2 linked regions of the Lonchura striata genome follow. The protein of the gene in region 2 interacts with the protein of the main gene of each other region in a pairwise test. Links are inferred from orthologs where the notes say so. Each region holds a gene or a part of one and is shown on either strand. Other genes may lie near its edges.

What was found.
Region 1: the proteins of PRRC2B (region 2) and YTHDF1 interact in a two-hybrid assay, tested with the Homo sapiens proteins (2 studies listed by BioGRID, with this or other methods). The link is inferred for Lonchura striata from reciprocal best matches to the Homo sapiens genes PRRC2B and YTHDF1.

What each region holds. Positions count from the first base shown.
Region 1 is NC_134619.1:6,018,676-6,029,781, reverse strand, and holds the start of YTHDF1 (YTH domain-containing family protein 1), read left to right. Parts: upstream 1-6,922; 5' UTR 6,923-7,073; coding exon 7,074-7,100; intron 7,101-7,488; coding exon 7,489-7,513; intron 7,514-8,956; coding exon 8,957-9,036; intron 9,037-11,106.
Region 2 is NC_134624.1:6,955,483-6,966,423, reverse strand, and holds the start of PRRC2B (protein PRRC2B), read right to left. Parts: upstream 4,499-10,941; 5' UTR 4,357-4,498; exon of another isoform or gene 4,309-4,356; intron 1-4,308.

The DNA.
Region 1 (11,106 bases), on a different chromosome or scaffold from region 2:
GAGGCAGCATAATAAAAAGCTTGAAAGCACTGAAGTGACTGGAGGCCCTGGAAAAACTCCAGCAGAATTCATCTCCACCCTGGAGGTGCTACACAGCTGTAAGAGGCTGAAGCTGTTCTGTGTGGCATAGCTTGAGACTATTGTGCTTTCATCAATAAATTAAGAGTTTACTGAGGAAAGAGGCTTTTATAACAGGAGGGAAAAAAGGTATCAGTTGGCACTGGTGAAGAAATGAAGAGGCTGGAACACAAAAGGAGACACCATAGCTTGTCACTTCAACTGATGAGTAAAAGGACTGGGTATCGAGCAAATTTATGGCATCATTCCCATTCCCACTTGCTCAGATGTTAGCCACTATTAAGAGGTGGATCCATTTTTCAGAATAAAGCATTCAGACCCTGAGATGTAACTGCTTTGCAGCCTGAAGCAGAGTAGACAAAATCATTATAGCTGAAGGCCTAGGCACAGATGACTGCTGCTGTTTCTCCATTTAGGGGCTCTCTTCTCCTCTTCTGGCTGCCTCTTCCTGGCATGCTGTCCATGCTGTCCTCCCCCTTCCTTCTCCTGAAGGTCCTGCTGCTCTGGTCCTGCAGGGCAGCACCTGCACTGCTGCTCTGGTCCTGCAGGGCAGGAATTGCACTGCTGCTCTGGTCCTGCAGAGAAGGACTTGCACTGCTGCTCTCTGGGGAGCTCCTGCCACAGGAACACCCGGGAGGAGCCCATCTGCTCAGCTGCCTCCCAGGGCAGCCCCGAAGGACCAAAGCACATCTGGGTGTTGATACGCAGCTCCACAGCATCCCTAAAACAAATCTTGCAGACAGCAAACAGGATCCAACTCAGTGGATAGTGACAAAGCACTCTGAAAAGTGACTGAGGACAAACACAAAGCCATTTCCTCAGGGCAGGGCAAAGCTCAGAAGCCTCACTTTGCTGTCTCATGCAGCTCAAGTTTTTCTTTTCCCATAAGAAGTTCTGCCATACATCTACAGTGATCTTCTCTGTCTATCAACATCTTCCTCACTGCACTTCCCTTGGGCCCTTTTCAATAATAACAAAAAAAAAAAATTAACACATTAATAAATATAAATGGTTTATTTTTCCACACGCTAAGAATCATTCATTCAGGAAGCCTGGAAAATGTTGCTATGAAGTAAATAATAGAATCCCAGAATGGTTTGGGTTGGGACCTTGAAGTTCATCTCATTCCACCCCCTGCCATGGGCAGGGACACCTTCCACTGTCCCAGATTGCTCCAAACCCTGTCCAACCTGGCCTTGGAAACTTCCAGGGATGGGGCAGCCACAGCTTCACTGGGTAATCTGTGCCAGGGCCTCAGCACCATTTGAGTAAATAACTTCTTCCTAATATCAAACTTAAACCGCTTCTCTTTTAGTTTAAAGTCGTTCTCCCTTATCCTGTCACTGCATGCTCTTGTAAAAAGTACATTTACTATACATAGGGACTGCTGGAACTAACACACAGATGAGTAACAAATACCTGTGTTGTGAAGTGATTTCCTAGGGATTCAAATCTATTCATCTCCTGCCCTAATTCTTTCCCCTGGCCCCCATTACTATGGCATTTGATTGCCTCAAAACTTTAGGTATTGTAATAGTTAGGAATAGCTAAATGTAGCTTGCAACATGATTCATAAAAGTACTTCAAATCAAATCCTATTAATATCTCAGCCCACAGAACAGAACACAGTACATATGAAAAGGAAAATCTGCAAAGCACATCAGATACTCAAAAAAATCAGTAGAGGAACAGGCCTTAAAATCTAAAGAACTTCATGGTTTCAGTGTCCAGCCTATTATAAAAAATATTCCTGCTATTGAAGAGTGGGTTGGCCACTGTTCACTTCTTTTTCAAAGGAAAGTGTTTGTAGAAAATAGCTTCTCTTTTATTTTTCTAAATGTCTTTTGAAGCTGAAAAATATGAGTTTCTTTTTCAAAGATTACTTTTTCTCTTTATTCAGTTTTCTAGCCCTTCTTGCCCCTGACAGTGGACCCAATAATCACGAGGGGAAAAAAAAAAAGAAATGTAGAGTAACCCCAAACCCTATCCATTATTTGTTTTCTTTTTTTGTTTCCCATAACATTCTGAATACTTGAAAAAAAATCTGTAAAAATTCTCTGCTGCTGCAAATTGAACAAACTATTTTCAGTTTTCAGCAGATCAACAATCCAGTGATCCAAAGAGCATGCAGAGTGCTCAGAAGCCTGAGCAGCAGCAAAGGGATTGAGAATGCAAATTAAAATTTGAGGAGGAAAACTGTGAGTATGGAAAATATAAATTATATTATCTTGATTTTTTCCTTCTTAAGTAGCATCTGTAGGTTTCTCCAAAGATGAATCACAGCTCTTCCTCTCCCTCTGGCTGACCTTGATAATTTCCCAATTCCTTCTGGTTCTGACATGCAGGAGCCTCACATTTGGGCTCTATTCCTTTCACCTACTTCAAGCCAGGAGGTAGAGAAGCAGAAGAACTGGAGCCTTATGTAAACTGAGTGGTATTGCAACTCTAAATTATTCATTTATAAATCTAACAGCTCAGAAGAGATCCTTGCCCACTTGTGGCCACAGTTCCACCATTCAGCCATTGAATTACCTGTAAAGAAGAATTTGTCAGGGATTGTTGTGATTCTAATGGAGCTCATCCTACTTTATAATTGGCAGAAAATCAGCCATCAAGAATCACAGAACATCTGATTTTCCAATTAAATCCTGCTATACTTTGGACTGTGTTTTTATTGCAGAGAATGTGCCTGGCTGCCTGAATATTGCTTGGGCAACAAGCAGAAAGATCTATTCTCGAGCTATTCACATTACAATTATCTGCTTTTCTCCATGCAAATTGGCTTGGAATTAATTTATTTTGTCCCTGTATCAATAATCAATAGGAAGACTGAAAGATGAGGAAGAAAAACAACAAAGCAACCTGAAGTCACTGCAAAGAGATGAAGGAAAAAATGCATAACAAAGAAACCAGACTGACCTTACAATTTAATAGAAACCCCACCACAGCAGCAAGAAGGAGTTGCCAAGGATGAAGATCAAGAGGGAGACAGGGGAGAGTTCCTGTGCTCAGTCATTGCTCCACTGAGCTCCTTGCCACAGCTTTCCAAGGATTTTGTCTTGCAGGGAACAGCATGTGTGATGCTGATGTCAGATGGGATCTGTTCACAGGCCACACTCTTTGCATATGATTTCCCTCCTCATGTTTTCACAAACAATGTGTCAGTGACATGAGAAACAGGAGAGGAGAACAGCTACAATTTCTCTGTGTGTCTGCTTTTATTTTTCACCCTAAAATGATGGAAGTGAATGCTGGGTCCTTGGTTTGGGAACATTCCGCAGGGGTGTAGGGTGCAGGAGGGACATGATTCCATTATGGCAATATTTGATTTTCTTCCATGCTCATAACAGAGAGGGCTGCATAAAATTCCTGTAAAACCTGAATTAAAAACTAATAATAAAAACACTAACACAAATATGCTGTAGTTTACACATGAACTCTTCTGAGATTTCAGAGTGCGTTAGCAAAGGAAGACAAAGATAAGTACAACTTTTTCTTAAACTAGAAGAACACATTTCATTCAACTAAGAGAGAACCAAACCCCATGTTTCCCCCTGGGTTACTTGTTACCCTCCAAGAGTATCCTAAGTTATATAATATATATATAAATATGAATATTGCTTTATCCATATCCTTCAGCTGAGACTTTTCATCTTACTGGTTTTATCTCTAAAAGACTACGCACTTCTCAATGGATAGACAAGATCATTCATAGCATTACCAGGAAGAAAAAAAAATTTCCAAATGCAACAGAAAAAAAAAAATATTCCCACAAAGACTTAGACGTGTGCATGCATGTAAGTATGTGATATGCTGCCGTTGGGTCTAACCTAACAGGTACAGCCTAAGAGCCCCCTGTGCGTTGGGATGCTGAAGCAGAGAGAGCTTTAACATTCTGCCCACATGCTCTCCTGGCAGGATGATTCATAGTCACATCGTTTCTATATCGAGATGTGAACATACACAATCACATGGACTTCGGAGCAGTGCCCATCACCCAGGCACCCAGCCTTTCCCTTCTCCTTCTGCACACGTGTTCCTCTCTCCAGCCATGCTGATCACTTTCTTTTTAGTCCTGTTTCTTGAAGCTCTGCTCTTTGGACAGACTTCCCAGCTCTCTCAGGGAGTGCCCACAGCAGGGATTTACTGATTTGCTCCATAATTACACTGAAGGCAAACAGAATTGGAACAGGCCACCTTGGACAGGGCTTGGAGCAACCTGGTCGAGTGGGAGCTGTCCCTGCCCACAGCAGGGATTGGAACAAGATGATCTCTGAGGTGTCTTCCAATCCAGTCTGGGAAAATTAGTGTTTTCTAAGAAAATACTAATTATTACTTCCTACCCAAGTCAAACAGAGAAGCCAGAGCATGTCCAGGTGCTGAGGATTAAAGCACCACTCTTTCTTCTTTATCATTGGATGTCTGATCAGAGAAAGGACAAAAGTGCACTCTTCATTTCAGATATTTTATTACAATAGTAAGTACAAACTCAAACTCAGTTTTCAAACATGTGAAGACTCGGGTTTTAACTACGTCTAAAGAAAAGCATGATTGTGTTCTTCAGTGTATTCCACAAGGACCAGAATTTGCCACTTTTACCCCCAAAATTAAGCATGGAGATATTACAACACTTTGTGACTAGGAGGACTTAGATGTTGATCCCACAGAAATCAACATAAACTGGGCTAAGGGGCCCAAATTCCACCCAGGTTCTGCAAAACAGCTGGAAGAGGAAAAAATAATTAATCTGATAAAAACCCATGTTGAGGGTGGCTGCTGGCTGTGTGAGGAAAGGTGGGTCTCCCAAAGCTCTTGGGTGAACCAGAACAGGCTCCCCAGGAAAGTGATCAGGGCACTGAGCCTGATGGAGCTCAAGGAGCTTTGGACAAGGTGGGATTGCTGGGGGTGTCCTGTGCCAGGACAGGAATTGGGCTTTGATCATCCTTGAGAGTCTTAAACTGTACCTGGGTATCAGGAGGAATTTCTTCACAGAAAGAGTGATGAGACATTGGAATGTGTGGCCCCAGGGAGGTGGTGGATGGCCATGGCACTCAGTGCCCTGATGTAGCTGACCAGGGGCACTGGGAATAGGTTGGACTTGATGGTCTCAGAAGTCTTTTCCAACCTAAGTCATTTGGTGATCCTGGGTCCATTCCAGCTCAGGAAGCTCAGGGATTCTGTCTCAGTGATCCTGTGAATCTGCACAGCTGAGCCTGTGGGCAAAGAGTCCTCTCAAAGACTGAGGGAGGAACAGAATCAGAGAATCTTCTGAGTTGGAAGAGACACACAAGGATCGAGTTCACTCCTGGCCCTTAACAGGACGCCCAAGAATCCTCCATGTGCTGTTGTCCACACGTATCTTGAGCAATCAGGCTCGGTGCCGTGGCCACATCCCTGGGGAGCCTGTTCGAGTGCCCGACCATCCTCTGGGTGAAGAACCCTTTGCTCCCAAGGAAGTGAGGCACAGCCTGAGCTGTGCTCCGTGCCCTCGTCCTGCCGCTCCCCGGCTGGGCAGCCCGAGTGCCCTGTGACGGGCTGTGAGGCAGAGCCATGTCTGCCATGCGCCCCCTCCCTCCCTCCCTCCCATGCATAGTATCCCATGGCCTGGCTTCATATAGCATGGCCAACCATAACATAGCATGGCCCAGCATAATATCACATGCCCATGTCACATATAGCATGGCCCAGCCTCATATAACATGGCCCACAATAATATCGCATGGCCCGGGCTCATATCCCATAACCCAGCTCCATGTCCCAGCCCTATATCCCATGTCCCAGCCCATATCCCATGTCCCAGCCCCATATCCCATGTCCCAGCCCCACATCCCATGTCCCAGCCCCACATCCCATGTCCCAGCCCATATCCCATATCCCATATCCCAGCCCCATATCCCATATCCCATGTCCCAGCCCCTATCCCATATCCCAGCCCCTATCCCATATCCCATATCCCCTATCCCAGCCCCATATCCCATATCCCAGTCCCATATCCCCTATCCCCTATCCCAGCCCCATATCCCACATCCCATATCCCAGCCCCATATCCCACATCCCATGCCCCAGCCCCCTATCCCCTATTCCGGCCCCATATCCCATATCCTGGCCCCATATCCCATATCCCGGCCCCATATCCCATATCCCATATCCTATATCCCATATCCCGGCCCCATATCCCCTATCTCAGCCCATATCCCATATCCCATATCCCCTATCCCAGCCCATATCCCATATCCCATATCCCATATCCCATATCCCATATCCCCTATCCCAGCCCATATCCCATATCCCACACCCCACATCCCGGCCCCATATCCCCTATCCCAGCCCATATCCCATATCCCATATCCCGACCCCATATCCCCTATCCCAGCCCATATCCCATATCCCGACCCCGTATCCCCTATCCCAGCCCATATCCCCTATCCCAGCCCATATCCCATATCCCATATCCCACATCCCGGCCCCACATCCCCTATCCCAGCCCCACACCTCCCGCCCTCTCCCGCCGCCCCCCGCCCTCCCCGCGCTCAGCCCTGCCCGCGCTGCCGCGCACGCGCAGAGGCGCCGCCGCCCCGCGCGCCTTTCCCCGTGCGCTCCCGGCGCTCCCCGCGCGCGCTCGCCGCTGACGTCACCGCAGCCCGGCGCCCGCCGCCATTGGAGTCGGCGGCCGCCGCTGCCCCGCTCGCTGCGGCCCCAGGCCCGGCCCGCGGGCATGTGAGACACGGGCCGGCTCCGCCACCGGCTCCGGCACGGCCGCGCCGCGCCTCCGCCGCCCGCTCCGCCGCCCGCTGAGGAGGCGCCCCGAGCAGGCGCCAGGCGGCCCCTTTCCCTCCCCCTCGGCCCCGGCCCCTTCCCCGCCCGGCCGCCGCCTGAGGGGAGCGGAGGCGCCGCCGCCGCCCCTCCGCCAGGCCCCGGAGCTCCGCGCCGCGCCCAGCGGCCCTGCCTCGTTCCCCGGCGCTCTCTGCTGAACCACGGGGCCCTGTGCATGAATTATGTCTGCCACAAGCGTTGACCCTCAGGTGAGCGAGTGGCGAGGCGGCCCGGGGACGGGGGAGCTCCCGGGCCTGCGGGTGCAGGCCCCGCCAGGCTTTTCTTCTCCCCCTTGACTGCTTTAGAGCTCCATCGTTCTCCTCAACTTCCCCCGTGGGCTCAGCGCGCTCCCGCCTCCTCCCCGGAGCCATTTCTCAGCAAGGCCGGGCCTGAGGGATACGTGGAACACGCTGCTCCAGCCCTGCTCCAAACAAACCTTGAGATGCTGCTGGCCATTTTTATAAGTCTCTTTCTTCCCCGTCCTCGTAAGCTGTGGGGTTTGCAGTGCCTATGACAATATAAGCGTTTTTCTAAAATTAACTTTTTTACTTCCCTTTTTCTTTTTTTTCCCCGTAATCACGTGCTGTGGCTTCCCAGAGACCGAAAGGACAGGATAATAAAGGTGAGGAATCGTGCTGTGATCTGGTCGCTTAAATTGTTACTGTAAGAGATCAATTACGCAGGTACCTGTAGGTGAGCAGAAATGTATGGCTGGTACTCTGCATGGAAAACATCTGGGAATGAGGGAACGTGTGCTTTGTTTCGAAAATAACATGACTGCCATTCATCCGAGCTTGCCTGCATCCCACTTACTGCTGCTGGGTTTGCAGTGGGAAGGACTGTGCTGGAACTAAATAATTCTCGTTTAACATGAAGCAAGTTGCTACATAAAGTCACAAGGATATCCCTGTACAGTATATGTATTTTTGCCTACTTTTGCATGCTCTGTGAGTGCAGTTGTGTTGCTGCTCTGCTGTTGGCTGAGATAGTTACTTAAGTCCATAAACTTAATAATTTTGGGAACTTGAAAGATGGTTAATTTATGATGAGGTAATAAGTATTTTTATAACTATTCTGCTTCAATTGAAATTAAACTTAGTAACAAGTCATCTGAGAAATACCTTCATTCTTATTGTGATCGCTTACAAATATGTAACTGTTAAGACTTAGAAAGTAGTAATATCTATCTCATAAATGCTTTTTCATACATCTTAACCTGCCTTGAGAATCCTTCTAGTTAAACGTTAAACACATCTCCCTGTGTTTGTAAACACTCTTTTACCTCTTCTCCCCTTGACAAACTTTGCAGAAATGCTCTGCTAAATTCCCAAACTTGTTTGCTAAACACTTTATTTGGTGTACTATTATATTTAGTTCAGCTGTTCTGTGAAATAGGTAAATATAGCAACTACCACACTGTGTATTTGACCTTGGTTTTTCAAATTTAAAGCAAACAGGAAATTATTTGAAGGGACCTAGTAGCTGGTTTGGGTTTGTATATCATTCAGTAATGGGTTTCACATGAAGTAGGACTTTATGGCAGATATATATATTTTTTTCTACAGATGAGAATGTTGAAACTTAAGTTTTCCTGAAAATATCAGGATAACAAAGCTCTTAGCAGTCTTCATTTCATAATACAATGTAACCTCACCTCATCTTATTTTAGCCAGTTTAAGCAGAGAATAACACATGCTGGGAGAACTGTGAGTTTGTGTGTTCTAATTATGGGCCAGAACAATAGATGCTGTTTCTCAATCCTTTTTCACAAAATTGTTCTCAATAATGATTTTTTTGTTGGGAGTTAATTCACATGAGTTGTTTACTCACCCTCAGCTGTAGAATTTTTTATTACTAATTTTTTTAATTTACTCAAACTTTGTTTTATAAACAGTTATATAAAGAGAAACAATCTGGGGGGTGGGAAGTGTCATCCCTTGGTCTTTTTGTGAGTCTTTCTGGCTTGCAGAAGAAGTATGGCTTTTCCTAAAGTAGCATAGGGTGGAGCATCACTCCTGCTCCAATGCTGCTGCTGTTCTAATGTGCTGTAACCCTTATTTTGTAGTACAAAATGGTTCGTTACATCAGAAGGACACAGTTCACGACAACGATTTTGAACCTTACCTTTCTGGGCAGTCAAATCAGGTTAGTGTCTTTTTAACTTAGTTTTGGTTTTTTTGTTGTTGTTGGGGTTTTTTTTGTTTGTTTTGTTGTTGTTTTTGTTTTTTTTATTCCTTAGGGATGTTGTTGGCACTCCATTCATAGGATTGTGTGGAGGGGGCAAATGCCTTAAATAGAAATGGAAAAAGAAATGGCAGCATATTGTGTTACTTGGTGATAACAAGCAGCATTTGTGTTCCCAAAGCTAATATTACTCTGCATTTCCAGATGGCCACAAGTGAAAATGAAGTTGATGCTCCGAGGAGCTGGAGCTGATTGCTCCTCCCCTTGCAGGTTATTGGTGTGGCTGGACTGGGACAGCCTGATCTTACAGTTCCTTGATAGGCCAGTTGCTTGTGGGAGTTTAAAAATTCTGCTTTAGGGCTCTCCTGATTTCTATTATTTATATAATTATAAAAATTAATGTAGTTGAGATTTGGGTTGGATGCTCTCTAGGTGCTTTGTAGAGTCCCATTTTTTACACTTCAGCAAATGTTCTTTCATGTTCTCTGATACATTTTAAGAATTAAAGATGTGTTACTTAAAAGTAAGGAACTGTAATGTAAACTCTCATTATAATGTACATTAAATCAACATCCATGACTAAAATACTATTATAATTGAAAGTATTCTCTGAAGTAATTCTTGACTTCATATTCAAATCTTTTAAGAGAACAAAATTTTTAGAAACTGGAGCAGCAAAAGGTTTTCATTCACAAGTATGAAACTCCATTTCAGAAAGAAACATTTAGCAGAGGTAAACGATGGGATGGCGAAGTGTTATGTTTTAAAAAGGAAATTTATAATTCAGCCTGAAGCTGTCAGATGCCAGTGTTAATATTGATGACATCACTGAGCTTGCTTGCAGCATAGACATGTTCTCCAGACTTAAAATAATTTAATGGGAGGCATTCCTTCTTTTGGAGTTAACCTACTGTGGAAAGTAGGAAAGCCTTTGTGAGGAAAAAAGGAAGCAAAATCTTAATTTTTAATTCAGAATTAATTATAAATGAAATTGAGGTTTTCACCTCCCCTTGATTTTTTAAAGTTGTGCTTTGTCACATTTGTATGTAATTTTTAATGACTAAAAACTAAACTGTGAAATATACTGAATGTTCACATAGAAAAAATGAACCCATCTATTATAGTTTTATTGTGGGAAATTTGTCTTTGCTGTCAGCAAGCCAAATTATTAGGATTAAATAGAAAAATTGCTATGGTTGTTAGAATTTACATAATTATAATAAAAGTTTTCTTTATGGAAGTGTAGCTCCATTGACCAACTTATTTATGCTGCAGTGAAAAAATTGGCATGGCACAACAAACAATTGTGTAGGTCCTCTTACAATTTTAAGTGGAAAGTGACAGTAGCATTAATTAGGACTGTGAGATTTTGTACTGAAGACAACCATGTTACTGAACAAAGCCTTATTATCCAGTTATCCAGTCAGATTTATTCATCCCTTGAAAATTACTGTAAAGTACAGATAACTTAAAAAAAAGATTTGAAGCCAACTGGATATTTAAAATAAGCTTTAGAAATTAAAGCCCCAGCTGACACAATAATATATTTAACATCAAAAATCAAATGTGAGTAATATTGTGTTAAAAGTACTTTTAAGAGCAGAGAGAACTGAGTCAAGTAGACTCTTCATCTACAGATTTACACTCAGCAAGAGCATCCTCCTGTAAAGTCAGTGAGAACCAAGAGATTCTTCCTATGGAACAGGAATCACCAGCAAGGAACATTTTTGGGGGGAGATTGTTTTCCTGGTTAGCAGAATGGTTAAGTTGGTTTTGTTTTGGGTTTTTTAATAAAAAAGATACAGAAGGGTGCAGAAAGGTCAAGAATATTGAAATAAATGTTCTGCTGTTGAAGGGAAGAACTTCTGTTAGGGTTTTACACACTCTGGCATAAAGCCAGTTAAAATAGATTGAATGTTTGGTAAGGATGGCTGCTGCAACTTTCCTTCAATCTTGTTAGAAAACCTTGTGGAGACTTTACAGGCTGTGTGAAGAGATGACAGCTGCAGGAATTGTCTAAAATTCTTTAGC
Region 2 (10,941 bases):
AGGAAGAGCTGAAAAACTCACACCGCAGCAGAACTCTTCCAAAAAAATCACTATATTCCCACACAATAAGCGCTTGGGGGAGGGAAAGTCCCAGTGCAAGCTCTTCAAATCTGTCTCTATTCACTCCTTGGCGAGCCAAGGCTACAATTCCCATCTAAATGCCTCAATGGCTACCTGGGAAGGATTCCTCAAGCAAAACTCTTCAGAAAGGGTACTAATTGCGCAAATACTCGGTAGTTTACTCCTCCTAAGTGCTACCCATCTGAAATCCGAAGGCTATTCAGGGTGCTCCCAATAGCTAATTGCAGCCTGGCAGACACCAAGATACTACAGTCCAACAGAGTGGGCTTCTTGGCCAGATCCTAGAGGGTTGTCAGCAAGTCCTCCCTTTCTTCACACTAAAGCCGGGCTCAGCTGCCCATTTCAAACTTGGTCATTATCTCTCTTCCCTTTCACCCAAGGTATGACTTTTCATCAGTCCCCACAAATTAATACCTGCAGTCTTCTTAAAATGGAACACTGAGCTCACCCCCCACTTCCACCCTTTCTCACCTTTTCACCCCTTCCAGCCTACTAACACTCTCCTGAAAATTTAAGTGCTGGAGTCAAACCACAGACATTGCATTTTGGCTGCAAGTTAAATAACCCCCTGCAGAGCTGCATACACACCTTTTAACACCTTCTGTCCCCACACACCTCGCAGCACAAGCAGCTTCACAACCAACCAGTGCCACAGGCAATTACAGAACAACACAGGACTACTAAAGCAGCCTCCAGTCCACTTCGGTTATTGTCCAAATGCTTCCAAATAATAAAAAAAAAAACAGATGAGGATTTAACAGCTGTACAAGTCAGTATCAGAACAGCTTTGCTCTGAAATAAACAGCTCATAAGCTCCAACTGCTCTGTTACTTTTGCACAATAAGTACACACGCATGCAGGGAACATCCTGAATTCTAGTACAACTTACTAACAGAGCATGAGCCTGAGCTATGTTTCAGTGAGGCTGGATATAATGCAATGTTCTGCTTTAGCCCCATTTTATCCTTGCAGGGGAAGGAAAAACTCTTTAACCAACCCAGATGTGGGCAAAACCCAGCTTCAGAGGGTGTTTTCCGTTTGGTAACCAAGTCGCTTAATTTCAGAAGTTACAAATGGCTGTTCTATGATGGAGACAGCTGCAGCTCCCCAGCCTTAACCTGTTCTCTGTGCTCTCACCTCACTGATACCTGACAGAACCACTGTTCTATTTCTTCTGCTCCACATGAGAAATTAGTGATAAGGAGCTGTGAAATTATCGACCTATTAGAAGAATGAGTCAGTGACACACGAAAAACAAAACCCACTTAACATGGCAGGATCAGCTTAAGAGCAAAGTCTGATACTGAGACAACAGCTCAGTGCCAACTTGCTGAATAAATGAGGAATGTAGTAAAAAGAAACAGGGAACCAGAGAGGTCCAGCCCTTGGAATAAACCCTCTCCTGAAGTTACCATATTGTATCACTAAGTTTCTCCTGCTCGTACTGCTTCTATTCCTACAACATGAAAATACAAAATTTTAAGTGGAAATGCCACTAGAGCAAAATCTCTTTGTAGACTACCATCATAAAAAGACATATATATATATATATAAGGTTTACTATTATTTTCAGCAGCACTTAAACGTAGCAGGGCTTGCCCTTAAATACTTTCAATCACTCAGGTAAGCACAATGAAGGCCTTGAGCACAAAGCACTCTGGAACAGGGCAGGTAATTGTGACCTGGATCATCTCAGAGCTGCAGTGCACAGCTCGGGGTCCTTGTTCTCCTCAGGCACAGCTCAGGTGTGAGCCCAGCAGGAGAGGAGGCCACACACGGGCACTGAGCGCTGCCTGTCCTGTGCCATCACCCAGGAGCTGCGTCACACAAACACAGCTCCAACGCCACCACCTTTAGGAGGTTGTTCAAATAAATGAGCCTTTGAAGTCAGGCCTTACACAAAGCTTTATTAAAAGGTTTTATTAAGATGTCACTATAAAGTGAAATAGCTTTAATACAAAATATTTAGCGATATGACTCACTTACTGAAACAAAAATACTTTTAAACCCTGCATGTCCCTTCCAGCATCTTTATGGACTATTTACTCACTTTTCCAGTTTCAGCCAGCTGGATGAGCTGCCCTTTTAAGCTCTCATGCACACATAGAAAAAAGAAAAAAAGCTCAAGAATGCATCAAAAAAATGCACTGTAAGACCAAAGAAAAAAATATCTGAATTTAGAAAAAACAAGGCACCAAGGCACTATATAATGACAAATCTGGAAACCCATATCAAACCGTGGTTTAATTAATTTTTTAAATAAAGGTATCTGTCAAATCATGTAAAAATTTGTTTTGTTAACAGTGAAGAATGCTGAAAGCATCCCCAAATATGTGATACCTAGTTTACTCAACTATGCAGAAAAGTGTACCAGACTAAAGAATAAAAAAAAAAGGAATCAACTGGTACTCAAGACACTCAAAAAATTAAACACAAAATCAAAATACAGCTAACAGCAGATGTACTCGCACTGGCTTGCAAAAACAACAAAGCAGCAATTCCAAACAGTATCTGCAATTTTTCTGAGTATGTTTTTTATCTGAACTTTTAAATTTTTACAAGAAAAACATTATGGGAGAGGTGCCGTTTATTGTAATCCCAAAATATTCTGCTAACTAGGAAAAACTTCTTAAGCCAGAGACCCAAAAGAAACAGCATCACCCATGATGAGCCCACAAAGAGCTCATGGACCACAGGTGAGCTCCTGATAAAACCTAAGCTCATTTACAATGCTTCACTAGGAGTGAAAAATGCATGTAAATATTTCACATTTTCAGTCAGAAATCAGCCTGAAAACATCACTTTCCATCCTCTCTTTAAATTCTGCTTTCAGACTATGGCCTTGCCTTCCCTACCTCTTCCAGATGACTTTAGCCCCTCTGGCTCAGAGCAATAGTTTTTGTTCAGCGTCACTGGGGGTTTCACTACCCCAGTGACACTGAATATGGAAAAGGCAAGTACAAAAGTAATGTCCTGGCCAGTTTATATCTGAACCCTACTCATCAGGAGTCGATTCTCCAAATTTGGGCTCTCCAAGACGGGGACCAGCTATTTATCCATCATGGAAGAGGCCATTCCAGTGGAGGTGTCAAGTGAATCGGTAAGACAAGGCTTAACAAAACCAACGCTTCCACTATAAACCTGGATTCAGTGCTAGAAGAGGTGGGATGCCTTCCTCCCTAGTAGATGATGAACACACTGCAATGTGCTTACACTTTATACCTGTTCCTAGAAAGAAAACTACTAAATCCCTAAACGTTAATGTTTACTGTATAATCACCCCAAACAACAGTAACATCAATATACGAACACTTATCTGATGAGTAGATGCTCAGTGTGTATCTCACCCTTTGCACACCCAGAAAACAGAAACCAAACAAAACAACTTTCCTAACAAAACCCACAATTTCCAGCTCATACCAACCCATTACAGCAGGTTTGAATTTGAATATATGGGGGACTTTTTGTTTTCTAAATTCACAACCAACACGACTAAAAACACCCCCCGGAAAAGATGCTCAGCCCGTGTCCCAGGACCCGCATTAGGGTTTCCCCCAGCTTGCAGCACAGATGCTCCCACACAGAATTGAAAAACTCCTTCTTGAACATAAAAAAAAAAAAAAAAAAAAAAAAGGCCTAAACATATTTCCAAACCTACCAAACGAGCTCGCCCAGCGCACAAACTCCATCCTCGCTCCCTCCCCCACGCCCCAGCCGCATTTCGGCCTCAGCGGCCCTTTTGTAGCTCCCGCACAATAACAAACCGGCCGAGCCTTCTGGATGCCACCCCCCCCCCTTGTTTTGCTGAGACACACACGGCGCGACAAAAATATCTTTGTGTCACACTCCAGACGACCAAAAAAAAAAAACAACCTGCCTTTGCGGCGGGGAGCCCCCCGCGCCGGCTGCACCCGGCGGGGAGCGCGGCGGGCCGGAGCCCGGACAAGGGGCCCGAGCCCCGGCGGCCCCACCGGGGATGGGCCCGGCCAGGCCCCGCGGCGGGCCCGTCCCCGCAGGGAGAAGGGGGGCGGCTCGCACAAGAAACACCGGCGGCCACAGCAGCGAGAAACCGGGGAGAGTCACCCCCCCAAGCCGCCCACGGGACCCGCCCGAGCCGGGAGGCCGCGGGGTGCCGCAGCCGCTGGCTCCGGCTCCATTTTAGCGCTGCCTCGTCCCACCTTCCCCTCTCCCTCCCCTTCCTCCTCCTCCCCCCCCGGCCCCACTCACCGCCCCGAATATCCGCGGCCGCCGCCGCCGCCGGCCCCCGATACCCACCTGTGGTGGTGGCGGGGAGCCGGGGGTGCCTGCGGAGCCGGGTGCGGACGGGTGATGGGCGCGGGGCGCGGCGGATGGCGGCGGATTGCGCGGGGCGGCGGCGGCGGCTGCGGCCGATCCGGGCACTCGCTGCCTCCTCCTCCTCCTCCCCCTCCTGCTGTGCCGGCCCGGCCCCGCCGCGCAGCGCCACCTGCAGGGCGCCGCCGGCAGCGCGGGGGCGGCGCTGAGGGGAGCCCCCTCAGGGGCACCGGGAGCTCCCTCAGGGGGACCTGCGGAGCGCACCCACAGGATTTGGGGCATCTCTGCAAATCCTGGGAGGCTGCAGCGCCTCTCCGATGAGGAGACACTGCGGAGCTGGGCCGGGTTACTCTGGAGAAGGGAAGGCTGAGAGGGGATCTCAGCAATCCATGTCAGTGTCTCCCCGGTGTGTCCGAGGATGGTGCCAGACTCTCTTCAGTGGTGACAGGATGAGGAGCAATGGCCATAAATTCAAAGACAAAAAGTTTTCCCTCAACATAAGAGAGAATTGCTTTAGGTTGAGGGTGGCAGAGCTCTGGAACAGATGCCCAAAGGAGTGCTTGGAGTCTCCCTCTCTGGAAACAGTCCAAACCCACCTGGGCACATTCCTGTGCATTGATCTGCAGGGATCCCTTCCAACCTCAGTTAATCTGTGATCCTGTGAGCTCCTCTCAGAGAGATGCCGAGCTGCTGGAGTGGGTCCGGGGGAAGGCAACAAGGAGGATTTGAGGACTGGATCATCTCTCCTATGAGGCAAGGGTCATCACGGCAGGGCTCATTGCTACAGCCACCTCAGCCCCCTGTGCCAGGGACAATGTCTCTGAGGGGATACTGGAAATTTTTCCCTCACATTTTTATGACCCCAGAGCCATAGGGCAGTGACAGGGACGTGGGGTGATGACAGGCACATGAGGATTCCTGTCCAGCCTGAGAGGGACCAGAAAACACCACATGTTTTCCAAATGGGCAGCAGGTTCAAAGGAGAAGCTGCCCCTTGGAAGGACTTCAGTCCACAAATATCTTTTAATTTGTTCTGTCATCAAGGATGATGGAAATGAATGCAGTAGAGCAAAGCAGTCACTCCTCTCCCAAAACACTCTACAGAGCCATAAAATACCAATAGCCTCACCAGCAAAAACAGTCCCTGCTTCAGACAAAAGAACTTCAGGTCGACACAACCTAAGAAGCAGCAGCACTGGCAAGAAATTGGCACTAAAGATAGTATTGTAAAAGTTACTGCAAATTGCAGTTCCTCTGCCCAGTGGATGTTTTATAGCTTTGGAGATGTGGTCTCCTTGCACACAAGGACAGAGCAGCATCTCTTTTATTATCCTTCCCTGTCCTGTAAGACACACAGGTGTCTGTCAGTGTGACATTTGGTGACAGAGGGCCAGACTGCAGGTACACACATGCATTTATTTCTTAGGGACTGTCCAGCAGTTCAGAAAAATTGTGCACACACACATTTATATTTATATATATGGGACAAGCACCTGGGCAATTGCTGGTCTTATGCAAATGCACTCTTTAGCTTATTCAATGGTCACCAGACATGTGCTGTCACCCCACATGCCCTTGCCCATGAAGGGAAAGTGGCTTTAGAGGAATTTCGCAGCACATTTCCCAGAGCAGACAGTGCCTCAGCAGGAACTGTCCCCACCTCTCTCCGTGTTACAGGAACAGCGTAAGGCCAGGCACCCGGATCACTGCTCATGAGAGATGATCTCAAACAGCCATCAAGAGTAATGCAGAGGGAAGAAATGCATGAACAGCTTTCTGGACCATATGGGATGTTCCTACAGTTGATCTGCACTGCTATTGAAGTTGCCAGGCACTGAGCTACCACGAGATGCACCAGTGCTGCTGAAACCATCATCTGGTTGTCCTTTTCTGCATATCAAAGTACTGCACCACTCCTGCCCCTTTGGTGTCTCATCTCATCTCTCTAGAAGTGTTTTTACCTGTCCAGAGACAGGAGGTCAATGCCCTCCACTTCTCTCCCTACAGGACCCCAACCCTCTTTCCCAACATTCCCAAATTCCTGTTCTCACCAGCTCACTGGCAGCTGGGGCATTAGTCTGGTCCACTTAATTCTTTATTTCTCCATTGGTCAAACAAGTACATACACATACAAACACCTCCTCTAACCTGCCTCCTGCCCATGCAAAACCTCAGAGTCTTCCACAGCAGCAGCTACAGTGACAGGAAGCCACCCTGTGGCACCAACATTTCCTTTTGGGAGATCAGGAATGTGGGATCCCCTCACTTTCAGTGACTCATGCAGACACCTACAACCCCCACCATCAGCAGGTGACTCACATAGGCTTGGCCAGGTCAGCACTATCCACATCTGCTGCTGTAACAAGCAGTTCTCCCAAGGTCTCCTGTGCATCTCCAAGGCAACAATCCAAGGCCAAGGGAGTAGATGCAGCAATTAAAGAAAAATTAATGCAAACTGTTGTGGTGATCAAAAAACCAAAGTAAACAATGAAAGACAATAGTAAATATATTACCAAGTGTGTACACTGCAGTGCCCACAAGCTCCTGGCTTTTCCACCTGTGCCCAGCAGTGTGCCAGAGCCAGCTCTGGAATTTTGCAAGTCTGGCTCAGGACTGCATTAGGGCTGGATTTTTCCACCCCTTCACTGTTCAAAGCTGGACAAAATCTGGATAGTGAGAGGACAAAGCTTGTCTCTGCCACCACAGGGGAGAGTGGGGTTCCTCTACATCCAGGTGAACTACGTGTGGCCCATGGGGACACATATGGATCAGACCTTGGCATAAAGTGAGGAATTTCTTCTGGTGCTCTTTAAAAGACCTGCACCACCTCTCACCAGCCTGTGTATAAATCAAAATAACTGGTGTAAAGTGAGAGCTTGGTAGGACTAGACCCACAACAGACTGTGGAGGAGGAGTGTCAACAATGAGAAGCAATTTGGGCAGAGACTGAAGAATAGGTTTCATCTGGATGAAATTCAGTGCATAGCTCTATGCAGGATCCATTCTGGAAAAACAACTCACCCACTCTGATTTTTCACCTGTTCCAGAGTCTTTACTAAATTGCTCCCTAGAAAAAAGAGTGACACTCAGGAGTATTCTGCTTCCTCCTTGCAGGACTAATTACAAGTGAGAGCAGAAATCCTTCTGTGTGCTTCATCCTTCCACTAGTGAGAAATCTGCTAAACACAAAATATCCATTACAGAGGAAATCTGCTAAACACAAAATGTCTATTACGAGGGCTATCCATTATAGCCCTCGTATAGGACATACATCTACAGAAGTATCTTCTGATATAAGGTCTCCTAGAAATAATAGAATTTCTATTATGTTCTGCAGCTTCTACAAAATTTGCTCTGAATCCATCAATCCCTGCCCCTGCCTTGCACCAAGCAGGGTGATTTACAGGCTCAATACTCCTGTGCCATTTTGCTATCACTTTGTTCAGCTGTAAATGGCAGCCTGCACCACAGGACAGGGCCTTACTGCCCTCGCAGTCATTCACAAAACTCATCAACACACTTGTAAAAAGCAAAGCGATCCTTCTCTGTTCCCCATCCAGAGGCCATTTGGCACCACAAAGTACACATTTACCTTAGTGGCTCAGGTCACGGTCCTTCCAGTTTTCCATCTGTCTCAGACAGCAGCCAACATCAGCTACTGCAGGAGAAACTCAATGGTCAGTTGTGGAATCACATGTCCAAGGGAAAATATGCTTTATAATTCCATGAGGTAAGAGCTGTTTATGCCCTGAAGCATGAGAATAATTTCAAATTCAGTTGTGTCTAAATCAAGAGTGCCTCATGACTGCACTGATTTCATTAGCTTATCTGAGACAGCTACAGGGAAATTCAAGCCTGCAACTAAGTGAGCAGGGCCTTAGGACCCAAAACCCAGTCAGCAAGAACATCAATAGAGTTGAGCTGTCATATTTGAGAGGTAGAAGACATGAGTAGCTCTGGCAGCTCTCTGTAATCCCACGAATGAGCCTGTGTTACCCAAATATAAGGAAATGTTTTGAAAGCCAGAACTCAAGCAGAACAAAGGGACATTGGGTCTCAAATATAAAAGATTTTCCCCCCCTCTACTTTAAGACTGAATATCAACAGAGATGCTTTGTAAAAAGAGGTATTCTGTAAGAAGAGAAAGGAAGCTGGAGTCTCTCACTTGTCTAAGCTGAAATAAGTATGAAATATTGGGAATGGAAAAATAGTATGAGAACCAAGTAATCCTGGCCTGTGTTTCAAACTGGGTTACTTGGAATAATTGTGTTACTTACTGCTTCTTCTAGCTGCCAGATCAGGTAGAGGCTGTTGATTTTTATTCCTTTGCAGCCTATGGGAGTTGCAGGCTCTGTATAAAAACAAGATGACATGGAAGTGTTTGTTTGCCAGGCTATTGTTTGTCCTTTTAAAGGCTGCAGTCACACTCCATTCTTCATGAGAAAATGCTGGCTCCTGAAGGACAAACCAAAATGACTATTTAAGGCACTAAAAATGGAAATCATTTAAAACAGAGCTGATTAAAAGGAAGAAACTATTCTTCCAATGAGAAGTGAATTGCTTTCAGCTGGCCTGAGCACTGAGCTTTGTTTGCAACAAAACCCAAATACCAGTTGCCTGATAGTGCAAGTATTTTGAAGGCACTTAATCTGCCATGACTCTAGTTTTTCCTTGTCCATAACTGCAAAACAAGTGTATTGCTTCTGCTCATCCTGGCTCAGTGATTATTCCTTTGGCTGGGCTGTTCAGAAGACAGCAAGACTGCTCTTCAGACAGATTTTAAAGCCCAGCCTTTCTTGCTACATCCAATTGGAAGCCCTCACAAAACCTTGATTGCTTAAATAGCAAGAGATTCAAGAAAAAAAAAAATCCAGAAACATCACACAGCTTTTTTACAATGTGACAGCTTGTGTTCTTCAAAAGACTCCAAAGATTGATAGTGACATGCCAAGTTTTCAGCACCTTCAGAAAAGAGGGGAAAATAGGGAGATGGAGGTTCAAGTACTAAAGTTTTGTCAGGGAAAGACTTGGGTGTATTTTTCAATACAACACTCACTTCCAAAACACACAGAAAAACACTTAGAGAAGCACCTGGGGTTTTTTTCAGTTAGCACCTCTGTTTGCTCTATCAAAGCCCCTTCTTCAAAGAGGTTGGAAAAAAAATCCAAGACAAATAAGGGGATAGAGTTATTTAACATAGGGTCCTCCTACAAGGTGTATCTCAAAATACAAGGAATATTTCTGAGGAAGGCAAAACATTCCTGTTTTAGATCAACCTGATTCTTATGACAATTCATAATATAAATATATCAAACTTCTTTCACTCTAAATCTGAAGATCAGTCCAGATTTAAACTACAAAGTAATTTTGTTTCCTACCTTGAAACTCTCATAATGACTATAGTTGTGGTCAGGATGTGAGTGCAAGGACATGTTTGGGTTCATGGTTCCAACCTTCCATCACAACAATCTGATTCCTCCTGTCCATGCGTGGCAAGACAGCTGCTGTTTCACAGCTCAAAAATATCTTGCTTCACCCTGACAAAGGGAAGTATCAGCTGCTTCTGAATATGCTGGAGCTGATGGGAATGGATGGATTTTGGTAGAGCTTCAGCCCCTGCTGTAAACAAGCCAGTTCTTGTTGTCCCTGCCGAGCGTGGCTCTGATCAGTGATGATCACAGCCCAGCCAGCATGTGAATCCTGCACACGTGCAGAGACAGAAATGGTAACTTCAACTAACAGGCTGCAGGATGCACTTCCACAGCCCTGAAACCAAGGCCGTTGTTTGGAACACCTCTGGAGCTACAGAATTTCCTTTCTCTTGGGGAATTCATGAAATAACTCTCTAGTGAATGTTTTTTTCTCATGACCAGATTTGTCCCTTCCATCTCAGGAGCTCCCACGTGGCCCCTTTTGAGTTCAGCTTCTTCTTTAATTATTAACAGAATTCCTAAATATTTCAGCGGGTGCTAGCTACCTCTGCTCAGGGAAAACACAGCATCGGCCCCAAAAGCTCCATCCACCTCCTGCCTCTCCGTCCCTGTGTCCCTGCTCCCTTCGGAAACGACCAAATGGTTTGGGGTGTAACTTCCCGCGGGACTCTGGCTGCTGGTGCGGGGACAAGGACGCGGAGGGGCTCGCAGGGGCTGGGGCATCTCCGTGCCGGGGGCTGCGATCCGGGGCGGCGGCGACATCCCGCCGTGTCCCCACTAGATGGAGCGACAAACCCAGCCTGGAGCCGCCGGCTCTCCCCAGTGTCCCCAGCCCTGGCTGCTGCGTGCCCCGGTGGCCGGAGGGCTCGGAGGGTGGCCCCGGCAGCGGCCAGCCCCGTTCCCGCATCTCCGCCCGCTGTGTCCCCGCGGCACGCTGGGCTCACGCCCCACGCTTGGTGCTCAAAGAGGCGGCCGAGGTGTCGAGCAGATGCTTCTCCACGTGGGAGTGGGTTTTTCTTGGTGCTGTGAGCACCTCGGCTTCGCTATTTAGAACCCAGGCAGCGCTAATGAACCCGGCGAGTGAGCAGCAGCCCTGGCGATGGACTCAGCCTCACACAAATCACCCCGCAGCTTT